Linked DNA regions of Stegostoma tigrinum. The protein of the gene in region 1 binds, or shares a complex with, the protein of each later gene. Links are inferred from orthologs where the notes say so. Each region holds a gene or a part of one and is shown in the gene's direction. Other genes may lie near its edges.

Region 1 (7,273 bases):
CAGATTAATTAAAGTAATTTTTACCATCTTTGATTGCCAAAGCTAGTATTTGCAAATATCACTATTAAAAACCCAACACTGTAAAACAAGTGGGTTATTTGTGCAAACTACAGGATTAAGGAAGATCAAGCAGGCCATATTGACTGTACAGGTCTTCTGTAATGTCATAAGTCTTTGCAACGACCGGCAGTGCTTCCCCCAGTATAGATACCACCTTCTCTGTTGGGCCCATATTCATAACCTCAAAGAAGTTTGCTCGGCTCGGCAGCATATAAAAGGCAACAGTTGCAGCTTTGCGTACTATCCAGGGATGATATTTAGCTAGGGAATCCTGGTATGCCTCTGTACAAAGAACAGAAGTTTTGCTATCATCAGAAGCTACTCGCAGTTTCTCCAGAAACAGCTGTAGCCACCTGAGGGCACGATGGAGCCGCAATAGTGTACGACAGCCAGAATCCCAGTGGTCACCCCGCTTTGTCAGATCCACAAGCTTGTTACCAACTTCATACTTCACCATTGATTGAATCGTCAGATACTGTTGACCATTCGCACCACGTCTGTAGTGTTCCAGAATTTGGATTTTGGTGACAGCGTCATGTGAAATAAAGGAAAAGGCCGATCCCAGACTGTTCATAAACCTAAAGTGTAATAAACAGACATATTTTAGTGTTTAGAACAGAGTTAAAAAGTAAATTACTGGTCTAACAAAAATTAAAAATAAAAATTGAGAAGCAATATTCTTAAAGTAACCACAATACTCCATTGCCAAGTGGGTTACTACTTCCAGAATTCAAATTGTAGCTACTTTTTTGGGAGTTTATCTTGCAAGATGCAGGTGAAAGATCTCAATTTCTACCCCTGATTTTCCACTGATCTGGGAATGGTAGAAACTGTACTTTGTTGATTACAGAGGGAACGACTGCTACATGTTACACCCAGGCTAGAAGCACCCAACAGATTGGGACTGGGCCCAGCAATGTTGTTACCATTGGTTGAGCAGTCTGCTGACATGAACCCTCAGACGCACAGGGGATGTAATGAACAGTGCTATGCATTAAGTGTAATGAGCAAGAATCAATACATTCAGGAGAGGAACACAAAGTTGGCGAGGAATGTTCATGTACATCAGTTGATAAGACACTGATGCCAATGCTACTCTGATATTTGTCAAGTGAAATTCACACATAAGCAGGTCACATGCATATTCCTTACAAATGCAGCTATTAAATGAAATCAAATTTAATGTTCTAGATGTTGTGACCTACTGACAATAAGTTTACCACAATACATGGTATAAAGAATCTTCTAAAGGGCCATATCAGATTCAAAACATTAACTCTGTTCTTGTCTCCACTGATGCTGCCAAACCTGCCAAGTTTCTTGAATGCTTTTTATTTCTCATTTCCAGCATCAGTGATATTTTGCTTTAATAATAAAGTGGAAAGTTGACAGAACACAAAATTTGGGTTTAAAACTTCCAGTTGTGTGTTAGAAAGGCACCTGTTTGAACATATACTCTATTATTGTGGAGAAATGGAAAATGTTACCAATATCTGTTGATCTACAATGTCAGTGAAGTGCAAGCACTGATCATTGAGCATCACAACTCAATTCACTGAAAACTGAAAGTACCATTAAGTAAAACCTCAATTTAAAAGGATTAGGGCATCTCTGAATAGAATTCACTTGTGTTTCTTAGAATGAAATAAAATACAAGTAAAATAGCAGATTTGGGAATGCATTAGAAGTTATTGGCTCAGATATTACCATGGTAACATGAGTGAACCCGACAGCAAGTGCTGCCTTTACTTAATTATACCAAAAGCAACTTCAGGAGTCTGGAAATGCACAAATTCATTTAGAAAAACAGAAGTTATTTCAGTGATGCTATATTTTTTTTTTCCAGAAAGTGCACTGTGAGGACTCACCCCTCGACTGCAGTCGCTGGCAAAACACCAAAGAAGTGACGTGAACTTTTTATTCTGGTCTCATCTCACTCATTGTAAAAATCCCTTGAGAAAAAGTTACACTTTATTGACCAAGATGTGTTTGGATCTTAATGGCAAAATAACAACTACAGAATACTAAAGACTGGTCCTGAAAAGCTAATTTTATGTTTGCAAATTGTCAAATTTCATCTTTACTATCAAGAGTTCTACATATTTAAAATAAAATGTATTTAAATCTAATCATGTATTTTACAACAAGATATTTTAACAGCTTTAGTGACCTTGTTTGCAATTGATAAATCCTTCAAGGCAGTTGTTTGCCTATCCTGCTTATTTACAACATTGCTGCTGCTGCACACCAAGATTTCCTTTGACTTAATGTCTGATACATTAGGAAAGAAGAAACATGCCATGGAGAGTGCTACATCTTTGTAGGCAGCATTCTTTGACATCACCAAATATTCTTGCTATGTTACTCAGCATGAAAGCTAGGCCAATGTTTTGGGAGAAGGATAACAGCCTAAAACCTTAAGTTGTTCTTTTCTGAAGCAAGAGGCACTCTACAATTCCAGATAATGCCAATATTTTTGCTTTTGGTAGGTTGGGAGATAATGGTTTCACATACACAATCTATAAAAGGTTATCATTAATGCAGTATATTGGTCAAGTGAACAATTTACAACAAGGTGATGCTCGCCATACAGCATCGCAAAAAGAAATAGCTCTCATTCTCATTTTCCCCAGATTAATTTTGTGAAAACAGATTTGGCCCCTCACACTAAGTAAATCGATTATACAAAAATCCAAATTAGGAACAGAAGGAGGCTACTCAGCCTTTCTATTTAGTTTCAAAATTCAATAAAATCATGGTTGATCTGTTCATGTTTTGAATGCCACATTCACATCTACTCCCAATAACCTTTGATTTGCTTGCCTAACAATAAAAAAACATTACTTACTATCTCCACCCTAAAAAATACACAAGGACATTGCCGCCATCCCTCTGAGTCAAGGTGTTCCAAGGTTACACAACTCTCAAAGAAAAGAAACCTAAAAAAACTCCTAGTTTTTAAACACTGCTTCAGTATAGTCATTAATTAACACAAGCTAGTTCTGGACTCACCTAGAAGAGAAAATATCTTTTCCATATCCATCCTGTCAAGATCTTATTTATATTTTAATCAACCTGTTTGGACAGGTTATGACAAATCTTTGGGACAAGTAGGACTTGAACCTGAAACCAAAACCATTTGAGCTAGAGTAAGGGACACGATTGCACCACAAGTTTGTGAAAAGAAGGATCTTATATTTCAATCAAGTCACCCATGACTCTTCTAAACACGTGAAAACATGAGCAGTGTGTCCAACCATTCCTCAGAGGAGGATGCACACTTTCCTGGTATCAATCCAGTACACAATTGTAAACTGGGGTGGCACAGTGATTAGAGATAATGGGAACGGCAGATGCTGGAGAATCCAAGATAACAGTGTGGGGCTGGATGAACACACCAGGCCAAGCAACATCTTAGGAGCACAAAAGCTGACATTTCGGGCCTAGACATCAGCTTTTGTGCTCTTAAGATGCTGCTTGGCCTGGTGTGTTCACCCAGCCCCACACTTTATTATCTAGCACTGCTGCCTCACACTGCCAGAGACGGGGCTTGATTCCAGCCTCTATCTGCATTATAGGCATTCAGATTCTAAGCCTCCTCTGAACCATCTCCACCCCACTTACATCCACAATTTTGCAAGATGTGGTCTCATCAATGTGCTAAAAATTTCAAGTATAACATCCTTACTTCTGTTCCTCACAGAATAAAGGATAACATTCCATTAACATCTTAACTAGTTGATGCACCTACATTCTAAGTTTTTTTTGCGATTCGTGCACCAGAATATCAAAACTCCTCTGCACCTCAGAAATACGTTCCACTTAGGTGGCATTCTTCGTTTGTTCTTCCTAAATTAACATCACGTTTTCCCAGATTACATTCCATCTGCCAGATATTTATTGAAAAATTCAACTTCTCCACATCTGTCTGCAGTCTCCATAAGTTCTGTTAGCAATAGAGCGAAAGGATTTTTTTTTGAAAGTCACTCACTTTACCAGTCCTTTCCATCCTTCTAAGTAATGTTCCTGCAGGATTTCTCCGTTGTCAGTCAGACATTCTTTGAAAGACCCCAGGACCTCAGTCAGACTGAACCGATCTGGATGAGCCATTTTAGAAACTGAAGCGAAGGAGTAGGGTGTTTTATTGACCAATCACAGCGCGGCTGTCCCCGGCCGGAAGTCCCACCTCAGCACCAGCCCACCTGGATCGAGCATCTCATTGGCCGTTGCTCTTGTCAGTCGGGTGGGTGTGCTGGGTGTCCTGGAAACGAGGGCCTGCTCGGCCTTGCTGTCGCCCGAGGTAGGCCTGAGGTTAGCGTGTTGTTTCTGCCCGGTTTGTGACAACAGCGTTTAGGGGAAAGGGAAAGGAGTAGGACGGGAATCGCTGTAATTGAGAGGGCTCCTTGTGTATTTAAAAACCCGTCGCCATCATTATGCGACGGGAAAGTGATAATAAATTGAGTTGTATTTTTAAAATTGCAACGTATGAATGTTAACCTGGAGACTTTAAGTGTGATTTTTTTTTGTTTAAATCAGTGAAGGAGGCCGCAACTGGCTTGCTGTCCTGTTCATTGTCACTGTCTGGAATTTTGCTGCTCCTCAGCAAAGCTCACTGTAAACCAGTGTTGTGTACAATCTATTCCATTAAATTTGACAGTTTTTAAAAATAGTTCCCAGTTTTTTTTAATGGGACGTATGTTGCTGAATTCAAATTTTTGAATAATTCAATTTTAAAGGCAGTAGATGACTGAATTGTTAGTGGAGGGCATAGTGGTGAAACAGTTTTTTTTCCAACAGTCTGGCTGCTTCTTTGTTACCTTTAATGTTACCAACAGCAGTTTTTTGTATTTTAATTATCCTTTGCATGCACTTAAAATTTTTCAAGCTCTCTTAGTGGGCTATTGATTCCTGTTCTCTGAATTGTTAGTGCAAGTCTCTGGAATTGTTTTGTCCAGTAATGACTAGTGTATACCTGTTGATTTTATGAAGATCTTCATTAGTAGGTGGACATGTGCATTCAAGAGGCTGTAAGAGTCGATGGGTTTCAGGGCTTTGTACACTCAGACATTGAGTATAAAAACAAAGTTAATTTGTTCAAATCATGGTACAATGATAAGAAATATTCCATTTATGTAGTAACTTTCTCTTTGAAACATACCTCAAGATTCTTCACAGATCATTGTAGCAGGAATAAAATTGTGACCATATGCTCAAAAATTGAATCTTTCTTCACTGAAATAAGGAAACTTAGTTAGAGATTTCACAGAGATTTTTAAAATTCTTAAAAATTTTAAGGCGTAAATAGCGCAGAACTGGCATGACAGGCTGTTGAGGTTAAAACTAACTGTTTAAAGATTAATTGAACAATGTCAAGGCATTTCTTCCCCCAGAAGATAGTGAATGCCTGGAATTCAATATCCCAGAGAGTTGTGTAGCCTAGATCACTGAAAGTATTTGAAGAGAAGGTAAATAGAGTTTTAAAATATCAAGGAGCTGAGAACTCTGAGGAGCAGGTACAAGAGAGGAGCTGAGGATTAGCGCACACCAAGCCATGATTTTATTGAGTAGCAGGATGGGATTGAGGGTACGAATAGCTTACTCCTGTTCCCATTTCTTAGGTTCTTGCTTTCAGTATTTGAAAATGACATTTTATATTAGGATATAGCTGTTGAAAAAAATGGTTGTAAAGTTCTGTCAGTGACTTGGAGGTGAAGTTCACGCCTCTAGACTTTAACACACAGTACATACCACTGTCTCCCTGTTGCACAATGATACTCTCACTTCTTCTCTCATTTCTTACCCTTACATAGGAGAGACCAAACTGCTGGGCCTTGAAATCTCCTGAGATTTTGTTACTGATACAGTCTGCTTTAAATTTATCAGATCCATTTTGCTGAATTTAAGATGACTAACTGATTTCATCAGTACATTCTTGGAACCACAAGTTGCAGTGAAATCTGATTGCAAATGCCAGAAATAAAGGTCACACCTTTAGGTAAGAATTCAAATATTCAGCTGTCTCTAGAATAACAAGGAGCAGCATTATTAGATATGATTGTTAGTAAGAACTTAGAAAACTTGCAGAATGATGAGTCCTTGCTTTTTCAGGGGCTGGCCAGGATGTGGGCCGCAGTTGTATCCTGGTCTCAATTGGTGGGAAAAACGTGATGCTGGATTGTGGAATGCACATGGGATATAATGATGATGTAAGTATATGGAACAATCGAATGGTAGAAAATACAGGAAAACACAGGCTTGTGAAATAAAGAGATATCTGGCCAGTGTTTTACAGTTTGAGTTTACATGGTTCATTTGTCAATTTTTGTGTATCCGTGTTTCCTTCAATGGACGTGGACCCAGTGATTGTTGGTCATTGCTGACTTAGTACAGGTGTTGAAGTGTTCCCAGTTTTCGGTGTCACATATCACTGGAGGTAGAGCCATCACCATAACAGGAGTAGGTTGTAGGTTTATTAACCACTGTAGTTATCACTACAAGCATTGATTGTCACCGTGACCCAGGAAAGGTCCATAGTTTCTGTACTCTTGCTGTTGGGTCTAAATAGTATATGAATAAACCAAATACAACAGGAGTCACAGATAGTAGGAACTGCAGATGCTGGAGAATCTGAGATAACAAGGTGTAGAGCTGGATGAACACAGCAGGCCAAGCAGCATCAGAGGAGCAAGAAGGCTGACGTTTCGGACCTAGACCCTTCTTCAGAAATGGGGAAGGGGAAGGGGGTTCTGAAATAAATAAGGAGAGGGGGGAGGCGGATAGAAGATGGATAGAGGAGAAGATAGGTGGAGAGGAGACAGACAGGTCAAAGAGGCAGGGATGGAGCCAGTAAAGGTGAATGTAGGTGGGGAGGGAGGGAGGGAGGAGATAGGTCAGTCCAGGGAGGATGGACGAGTCAAGGAGGCGGAATGAGGTTAGTAGGTAGGAGATGGGGGTGGGGCTTGAAATGGGAGAGGGGATAGGTTGGAGGCGGGGACGAGCTGGGCTGGTTTAGGGATGGAGTAGGGGGAGGGGAGATCTTGAAGTTTGTGAAGTCCACATTGATACCATTGGGCTGCAGGGTTCTCAAGCAGAATATGAGTTGCTGTTCCTGCAACCTTCACATAGCATTGTTATGGCACTTCAGGAGGCCCAGGATGGACATGTCATCTGAGAAATGGGAGGGGGAGTTGCAACGGTTCGCAACTGGGAAGTG
Region 2 (7,560 bases), on another chromosome or scaffold:
CCCACACGCCCTCCCCTTCCCACACGCCCTCCCATTCCTACTCCCCCTCCCCCTCTCCTGCCCTCTCCCTCCCACTCTCACTCCCCATCCTGCTTTCACTATCCCTCCCCCTCCCACTCTCACTCCCACTCCCACCATCTCCCACTCCACCTCCCACTCCCACTATCCCTCCCACTCCCACTCCGCTCCCCCTCCCATTCGCCCTCTCCCTCCCGCTCCCACACCCCCTCACCCCCTCACCCCCTCACCCCCTCACACTCCCCCTCCCTGGGTGACATGTCCATCCTGGGCCTCCTCCAGTGTCACAATGATACCATCCACAAACTGCAGGAGCAGCACCTCATATTCCACCTGGGATCCTACAGCCCGATGGCCTAAATGTAGCATTTACCAGTTTCAAAATCTCCCCACACCCCGGCCTCATCCGGTTTCCAACCCTCCCTCTCATTCCCGCCTCCATGACCTGACACAACCTGCCCATTTTCTTACCCACCTTCTGCCCCTCTGACCAATCCCCACCACGCCCACCTATCGCCATCTCACCTCCCTTCCCCCAGTCCAAACCCCCTCCCTCTATTTATTTCCCAGCTCCTTTACTCCTCCCAGTCCTGATGAAGGGTCCTGAGCCAAAACAGCGGCTTTCCTGCTCCTCTAACACTGCCTGGCCTGCTGTGTTCCTCCAGCTCCACACCGTGTTATCTCTGACTCCAACATCTGCAGTTCTTGCTGTCTTCAAATAATGTTGATCTTGCTTTGTGCACCTCCCGTGCAACGATAATGTTGTATACCTCATTCTAAGATCCCCACGATCTGTATGTCCTTGTTTGTTGTGATCTGCCTGTACTGCATGCAAAACAAAACTTTTCACTGTACTTAGGTACACGATTACAATAAATCAAATCAAAACAAAGGTCCTGGGGAAAAGACCTTGGCTATTCACCCTATCCATGCCCCTCATAATTTTATAAACCTCTATAAAATCACTCCTTCAATCTCCGATGCTCCGGGGAAAATAGCCCCAGCCTATTCAGCCTCTCCCTGTAGCTCAAAGCATCCAACCTTGGCAACATCCCTGTATATCTTTTCTGCATCCCTTCAAGTTAACAATATTTTTCCTATAGCAGGGAGATGAGAACTTAATGCGATATTCTAAAAGTGGCCTCACCAATATCCTGTACAGCCACAACATGACCCTCCCAACCCCTATACTCAATGCACTGACCAATAAAGGCAGACATACCAAACACCTTCACTATCCTGTCTACCTGCGACTCCACTTTCAAGAAACTATGAACCTGCACTCCAAGGTCTCTTTGTTCAGCCACACTCTCCAGGAAGTTACCATGAAGTGTATAAGCCCTGCCCTGATTTGCCTTTCCTAAATGCAGCACCTCACATTTATCTAAATTAAACTCCATCTGCCACTCCTCAGCCCTTTGGCCCATCTGATCCAGATCCTGCTTGATTGACTTGTTTGGTTTGACTGGGCTTGTAATTGCTGGAGTTTAGAAGGATGAGAGAGGGATCTGATTGAAACATATAAATGCCAGTAGGGCTGGACAGACTAGATGCAGGGAGGGTGTGTTCCCTCCATGGGGGAGTGTAGACCCAGGGGACACAGTCTCAGGGTACAGGGCAGACCATTTAGGACTGCGATGAGGAATGATTTCTTCACTCGGGGGGAATGACCCTGTGGAATTCTCCACAATAGAAAGCTGTAGAGGTCAAGTTACTGAATATATTCAAGAAAGAGATAGGCGAATTTCTAGAGTTTTTTGTCATCAAGGCATATGGAGAGAAAGTGAGAATGTGACAGTGAGATGGAGGATTATCCATGAGCATATTGAATGGTAGAATAGGCTGAAAGGGCCAAACGGCCTACTCCTGCTCCTATTTTCTACGTCTCTATTAGTGTAGATGTATAAATTCAATCACTAAAATAGCCATTGTCTCCTCTTTGTCCTGCTATCCATATTAAAATATCCTATCACCATGTTTCTTTAATGAACTGATGGAGCATCGTTTATTAGAAATCAAACCATTTAAAACAAGTGGTAAATTGATAATATCAAAGTTATAATCTAGAATTAGAACTATGTCCCTTCTAATCCCAAAAACAAGCCCTCACTCACACACAGGACAACACTGATTCTGCAGGAAAATGTTATTAAATAACCAAAAGGAAAATGTGCCTCCACTAACCAATAAGAATAGAGATTGATGAATTCTCACAATCCGTCAAGCTTCCTGTTAATAAAATTGATTTAATAATTGTGTACCAATGGAAGATTGTCGAAATAAAGCTTCATTTTGTTTGGGAAAGAAGCTGGATCTAGCTCTTCATTTAGTTGTCATAGATCAGCTTTCCAAGGTTTGCAAGGTAGTCAAAAAATCTTGGATTCTCCAGCATCTGCAGTTCCCATTATCTCTGATACAAAAAGATGCTCATGTTAGCTTTGTCACATTCCCAATTTTCAGCCAGGGGAAAGAATGGAAGAGAAGGAGAGAGATCTTCCTGCCTTCCTGTTCTCTGCTCTGCTTCCTTTTTCTTTCTGACTCTCCAGAGATGTTTGAAGCTGAAGCCAAACCCCACCTGGGATGTTGACAGTCATTAGCACATTAGCACAGTCACCTCCAAAGACAAATGGTCCAGCAATTAAAAGCAACAGTCTTTTTCTTACTCCATAAAGTGTCCAAACAGCTCCTAATCTTCCAGCTCTTCATACACCCCGTAAATATAAATATAAAAATAGGGTGGTTTTGCTAAAACTGCACAAGGTGCTAGTCAGATCACAGTTGGAATACTGTGAACAGTTTTGGGCCCTTTATCTGAGGAAAGATACACTGACACTGGAGACAGTCCAGAGAAAGTTCCCTGGACCGATGTTGGGGTGGAAGGTCTTTCTTATGTGGAGGGGATGAGCAGATTGCACGCATTGGAATACAGAAAAATGACAGACAACTTCAGTGAAACAGATAAGATCCTTAGGGGAATTGGCAGGGTAGGTGCAGAAAGGAGGGTCTAGGACCAGAGGGCATAATCTCAGAATAAACAGCTTCACATTTAGTACAGCGGTGAAGAGGAATTTCCTTTCTCAGAGGGTTGTGAGTCTGTACGATTCTTTATTGCAGAGAGCTGTTGAGGCTGGGTCATTCAGTATATTGAAGGCTGAGACAGACACACTTTTAATCAGGAAGGGAACTGAAAGTTATAGGGAAAATGCAGGAAAGGAATTGAGCTCAGCCATGATTTCATTGAATGGCAGAGCAGACTAAACGGGCTGAATGGCCTGCTTTTGCTCCCACGTCTTACAGCGTTTTTATAATGATATATTCCAGTCCTCAGCACACTTCCTTATCTGATCACGATCCCTCTGTAATTTTTGCTAACCTTCCTCACTGTCAATGATACCTCCCAATTTTGTTACATCTGCAAACTTATTCATCATGCCTTGTACATTCAAATCGAGATCATTGATGTAAATAACAAATAACAAAGGTCCCAGCACTGACCTCTGGGGCACACCACTAGACACAGGCCTCCAGCCTGAGGAACAAACTTCAGCCCTCACCCTCTGCCAATTTTGAGTCTGAGGAAGGGTCACCAGACCCGAAACGTTAACTCTGTTTTCTCCTCCACAGATGTTGCCGGACCTGCTGAGCTTTTCCAGCAACTTTGTTTTTGTTCCAATTTTGAGTCCACTTAGCTACCTCTCCCTGGATCCCATGAGGCCTAACCCTCATCGCTAGCCTGCCATGCATGACCTTGTCTAACCAAGCTCTCCAGGGCCCAGCCCTGAGGTGCCATATAAATGCAAATCTGGCTATTTTCGGTGAGTAGCACCTGTTTTCAGGTCTGGGCATTGGAAATACAATGAGGATAAGCATATGGACGTACATGGAATAGTGTAGGTTAGATGGGCTTGAGATCGGTATGACAGGTCGGCACAACATTGAGGGCCGAAGGGCCTGTACTGTGCTGTAATGTTCTATGTTCTAACACGTTGAAGTTTATAGGGGGCGAAAGTAAAAGTCAGGTTCCGCCGAGATTTGAACTCGGATCGCTGGATTCAGAGTCCAGAGTGCTAACCATTACACCACGGAACCAGGCCTGCTCTGGCTGCCGCTGGGAGGCGTATTTCAGGAAATCAGCCCGCCTTCCCCACCCGCCTTAGCAACAGCGATTTTATTGGTCAGTGCCCACAGGTGCATGGGAAGCCCTCAGAGACGGAGAAATAATTATACAGGAGTTCTCCGAGAAATTCGTTTGTGATTGATGTGAGAATAGTCCCAGTATCGGAATAAATAAAAGTAATTTGGTAAAAAATCAAACCAGGAAGTGATGTAACCAAAAGGTGTAAACTTCCACCTCAACCGCCGAGTTATTTCCCTGCCTGAACAGTTTATTTAAAATCTAATTATCATTTTAGACATTGGAGGCTGACGGGAGAAGGTTATTTTCCTTAAACAAATATATAAATAAATAAAGCGTTCACTGGCGCTTCGGAATTGCTGTGATGTCATATCCCCTCCCGAGCTGTCCCAGAAACAGTCGAAAGTCGAATGGGTTTCATTTCTTTTGCCGAGGGCTTCAATTTGAAGAAGGTTCCGCTCCTTCTCGTGCGAAAAATAATTAGATGGGAATTTTCTTCATGGAAGAAGGCGGGAATCGATGTGGAACTGACGCAAACGCCGTGGGCGGGGATTCCAACGCCGGAAGTGACAGTTGCCTTGGAGACGCCAAGATGGCGGCGGAGGAGGAGAGCGAGTGGGATGTTTGGATGTTGGAATCTCTGAGACTGTGAGTGCGATGGTGCCCGGGACCAGGCGGTTGGCACCTGCTCTTGGACCGATCGCTTTGTCTCCCTGACCGTTTGGGATTCTGTAGGACACCCCCTGAAACGTTAAAGTTTCTGTCTTTAGGTTCCACCCATCCTCCCTCACTGCAGTAACTGATTCCTGGGTCAGTTTTACAACGCCGTCTGCTCCCTTCTCGCCGAAAGATTTTATACCATCGAGCTGCCAGGCCCTCCCTCGAACTTCTTCGTGATTGCAATGATGTTTGAGTTGGTGCGATTAATGGGTCACTGGGATGGACAGTATCAGGGAAATAGGGGTGTTCTGAAAGGTCTTGTGCTGTCTGTCTGGTCCCTGGCATGAGGGAGCACCTCAAGTCATCTGCCTCCGTCTCCCGCTGATGTTCACAAGTCGCTCTGTGGTGTCGAGATAGCAGATTATATAGTGGCATTGCCTCGAGTTAAACCAGGATCGTGGGATGATGTTGTGAAAGGAAATGATGGTTTTAGATGCTTATTCTGTCTTAGACTGATCATTTTGATCACTTTTCCATATGTATTTCAGTGTCACATTTTATCTGTTATTTACTCTTCTGGAGCGGTTTGTTTTATATATTAAATATAAGTTGCGATTGAAGTGATTATTTGAAGTGTATTACATTACGATACTCTGTCTGTTTCTATTAGGTACAATGACCTTCATGTGTTTGAGCTTCAGGAACCAACACGAGTTATAGAATGGATTCAGGATAGAAGTATGTTGGATTGTGTCTTTCTCTGTCTGGGTGTGTTTATATAACAGTCCATTTTCAAAAACATTTGATCTTCACTGAGGTTTGAAAGAGTTAAATTACAGAAATTGAATAGAGGAACTAGGTTTGTATTCCTCTGATTTAGAAGATGACTGATGATTAATCAAAGTGTTTAAGGTGACTTAAGGATTTGATAAATTTGATGTAGCAAAATTTATTTTCGTTGGTGAGAGTCCAGACTAAAGAAATATTAGAATTTTTAAAAGAAGAATTAGTGTTAACTCAAAATGTTAACTCTATTTCACTTTCTGCAGATGCTACCAGACTACCTGAGTTTCTCCAGCACAGTCTGTTTTAATTTCAGGTCTCACGCATTCGCAGTATGTGGAGATTTTTTTACTTCTGATTGTGGTAGGAAACAGGAAAAGAACTGTTTTAGCGGCCAGTGTAAACTTCTGTGGTTCCACGCAAACCTACAGCATTGTGTGGAACCACAGAACCACATAAGCGTTATTTGCTTATGCTTCACAGAGAGAACATCATGTTCAAAATAAAAAAAAATCTACCAGAAGCAAATTATCATCAATCAATGCAGCTTTGCCTGGGAGCAGACTTTTCCAGTAATAAAAACAACTGGGATCATAACAAGGACCTGAGTGACATCTTGTTCCTGAGTATTATGATCCAAGTGTTTGGTTGTACCTCCTGATATCAACAGGGAAAAAACGGGGTAGATAAAGAGAAACTATTTCCCCTGATTGGGGATTCTAGAACTAGGGCCAGACTGTTCAGGAGAGATGTTAACAAGAGCTTCCACATGAAGGGTGGTAGAGGTTGGAACCCTTTAACAAATGGAGCTGCTGCAAGATCATTGTTAATTTTAAATCTGAGGTAGATACCATTTTGATTAAGTAATGTATTCAGGGATATCAGACAAAGGCAGGTATGTGGAGGTAGACTGCAGATCAGCCATTGTCTTAACGAATGGTGGAACAGGCTAAAGGGGCTGAATGACCTACTTTTGGTCCTGTGTTCCGGATCACATGGAATATAGGGAGAACTAGCCACGTGGATACATAACTAGCTTGAAGGTAGGAGACAGAGGGTGATGCTGGAGGGTTGCTTTTCACACTGGAGATCTGTGACTAGCTTTGTGCAGCAAGGATTGGTGCTGGGTCAACTGCTTCTCAGCATTTATGTAAATGATTTGGATATGAATGTAGGAGGTATGGTTAGTAAGTTTGCAGTTAACACCAAAACTGGCATAGTGCACAGTGAGGAAGGCTACCACAGAGTACCAGGGGATTTTGACCACATGGGCTGAGGAATGACAGATGGAGTTTAATTTCGATACATTTGAGGTGCTGCATTTTGGGAAGGCAAATCAAGGCAGAACTTGTACACTTAATGGTAGGGTCCTGGGGCGTGTTGCCAATCAGAGACCTTGGAGTGTAGGTTCATAGTTCCTTGAAAGTGGAGTTGCAGGTAGACAGGATAGTGAAGAAGGTGTTTGGTATGTTTGCCTTTATTGGTCAGTGCATTGAGTATCGGAGTTGGGAGGCCATGTTGTGGCTTTATAGGACATTGGTGAGGCCACTTTTTTAGAATACTGTGTTCAATTCTCGTCAAGAGATATTGTGAAACTTAAAAGGGTTCAGAAAAGACTTACAAGGATGTTGTCAGGTTTGGAGGGTTTGAGCTATAGGGAGAGGCTGATTAGACTGGAGCTATTTTCCCTGGAGCGTTGGGGGCTGACCATTTAGAGGTTTATAAAAGCATGAGGGGCATGGATAGCGTGAACAGCCAAGGCCTTTTCCCCTAGGGTAGGGGAGTCCAAAACTAGAGATTTAAGGTGAGAGAGTTAAGATTTAAAAGGGAACTAAGGGGCAATTTTTTCATGCAGAGGGTGGTGTGTGTGTGTGTGTGTGTCTGATACAATAACAACATTTAAAAGGCATCTGCGTGGGTTTATGAAAGGAAGGGTTTAGCAGGATATGGGCCAAATGCTCGCA

The links. The genes of interacting proteins can lie anywhere in the genome.
Region 2: the proteins of ints11 (region 1) and wdr73 are in contact, whole or in part, in a cryo-EM structure (PDB 8R22), measured with the Homo sapiens proteins. The link is inferred for Stegostoma tigrinum from reciprocal best matches to the Homo sapiens genes INTS11 and WDR73. Residues at the interface, in NP_060341.2 of Homo sapiens: Tyr206, Thr208, Thr209, Ile210, Arg211, Asp212, Ser213, Arg215, Cys216, Arg217, Glu218, Arg219, Asp220, Leu222, Lys223, Lys224, His226, Phe255, Arg258, Met259, Leu364, Val384, Glu385, Tyr386, Ser388, Lys418, Lys419, Glu421, Phe422, Gln425; in NP_116245.2 of Homo sapiens: Asp5, Asp6, Leu8, Val9, Ser11, Leu12, Tyr15, Gln16, Phe18, Tyr19, Ala20, Phe21, Asp22, Leu23, Glu50, Leu52, Arg59, Leu68, Phe69, Pro70, Glu71, Arg72, Asp73, Phe74, Lys75, Val76, Gly79, Phe81, Asp116, Ser117.

Annotation. Positions count from the first base shown.
Region 1 is NC_081381.1:29,356,482-29,363,754, reverse strand, and holds the start of ints11 (integrator complex subunit 11), read left to right. Parts: upstream 1-4,256; 5' UTR 4,257-4,360; exon of another isoform or gene 4,361-4,371; intron 4,372-5,943; 5' UTR 5,944-6,027; coding exon 6,028-6,055; intron 6,056-6,168; coding exon 6,169-6,266; intron 6,267-7,273. Other genes in the region: cptp (ceramide-1-phosphate transfer protein), read right to left, coding at 116-638, 4,052-4,170.
Region 2 is NC_081359.1:111,590,538-111,598,097, reverse strand, and holds the start of wdr73 (WD repeat-containing protein 73), read left to right. Parts: upstream 1-4,543; 5' UTR 4,544-4,637; coding exon 4,638-4,801; intron 4,802-5,483; coding exon 5,484-5,551; intron 5,552-7,560. UniProt on the Homo sapiens protein: Component of a multiprotein complex required for the assembly of the RNA endonuclease module of the integrator complex. Associates with INTS9 and INTS11 in the cytoplasm, stabilizing the INTS9-INTS11 heterodimer and blocking the active site of INTS11.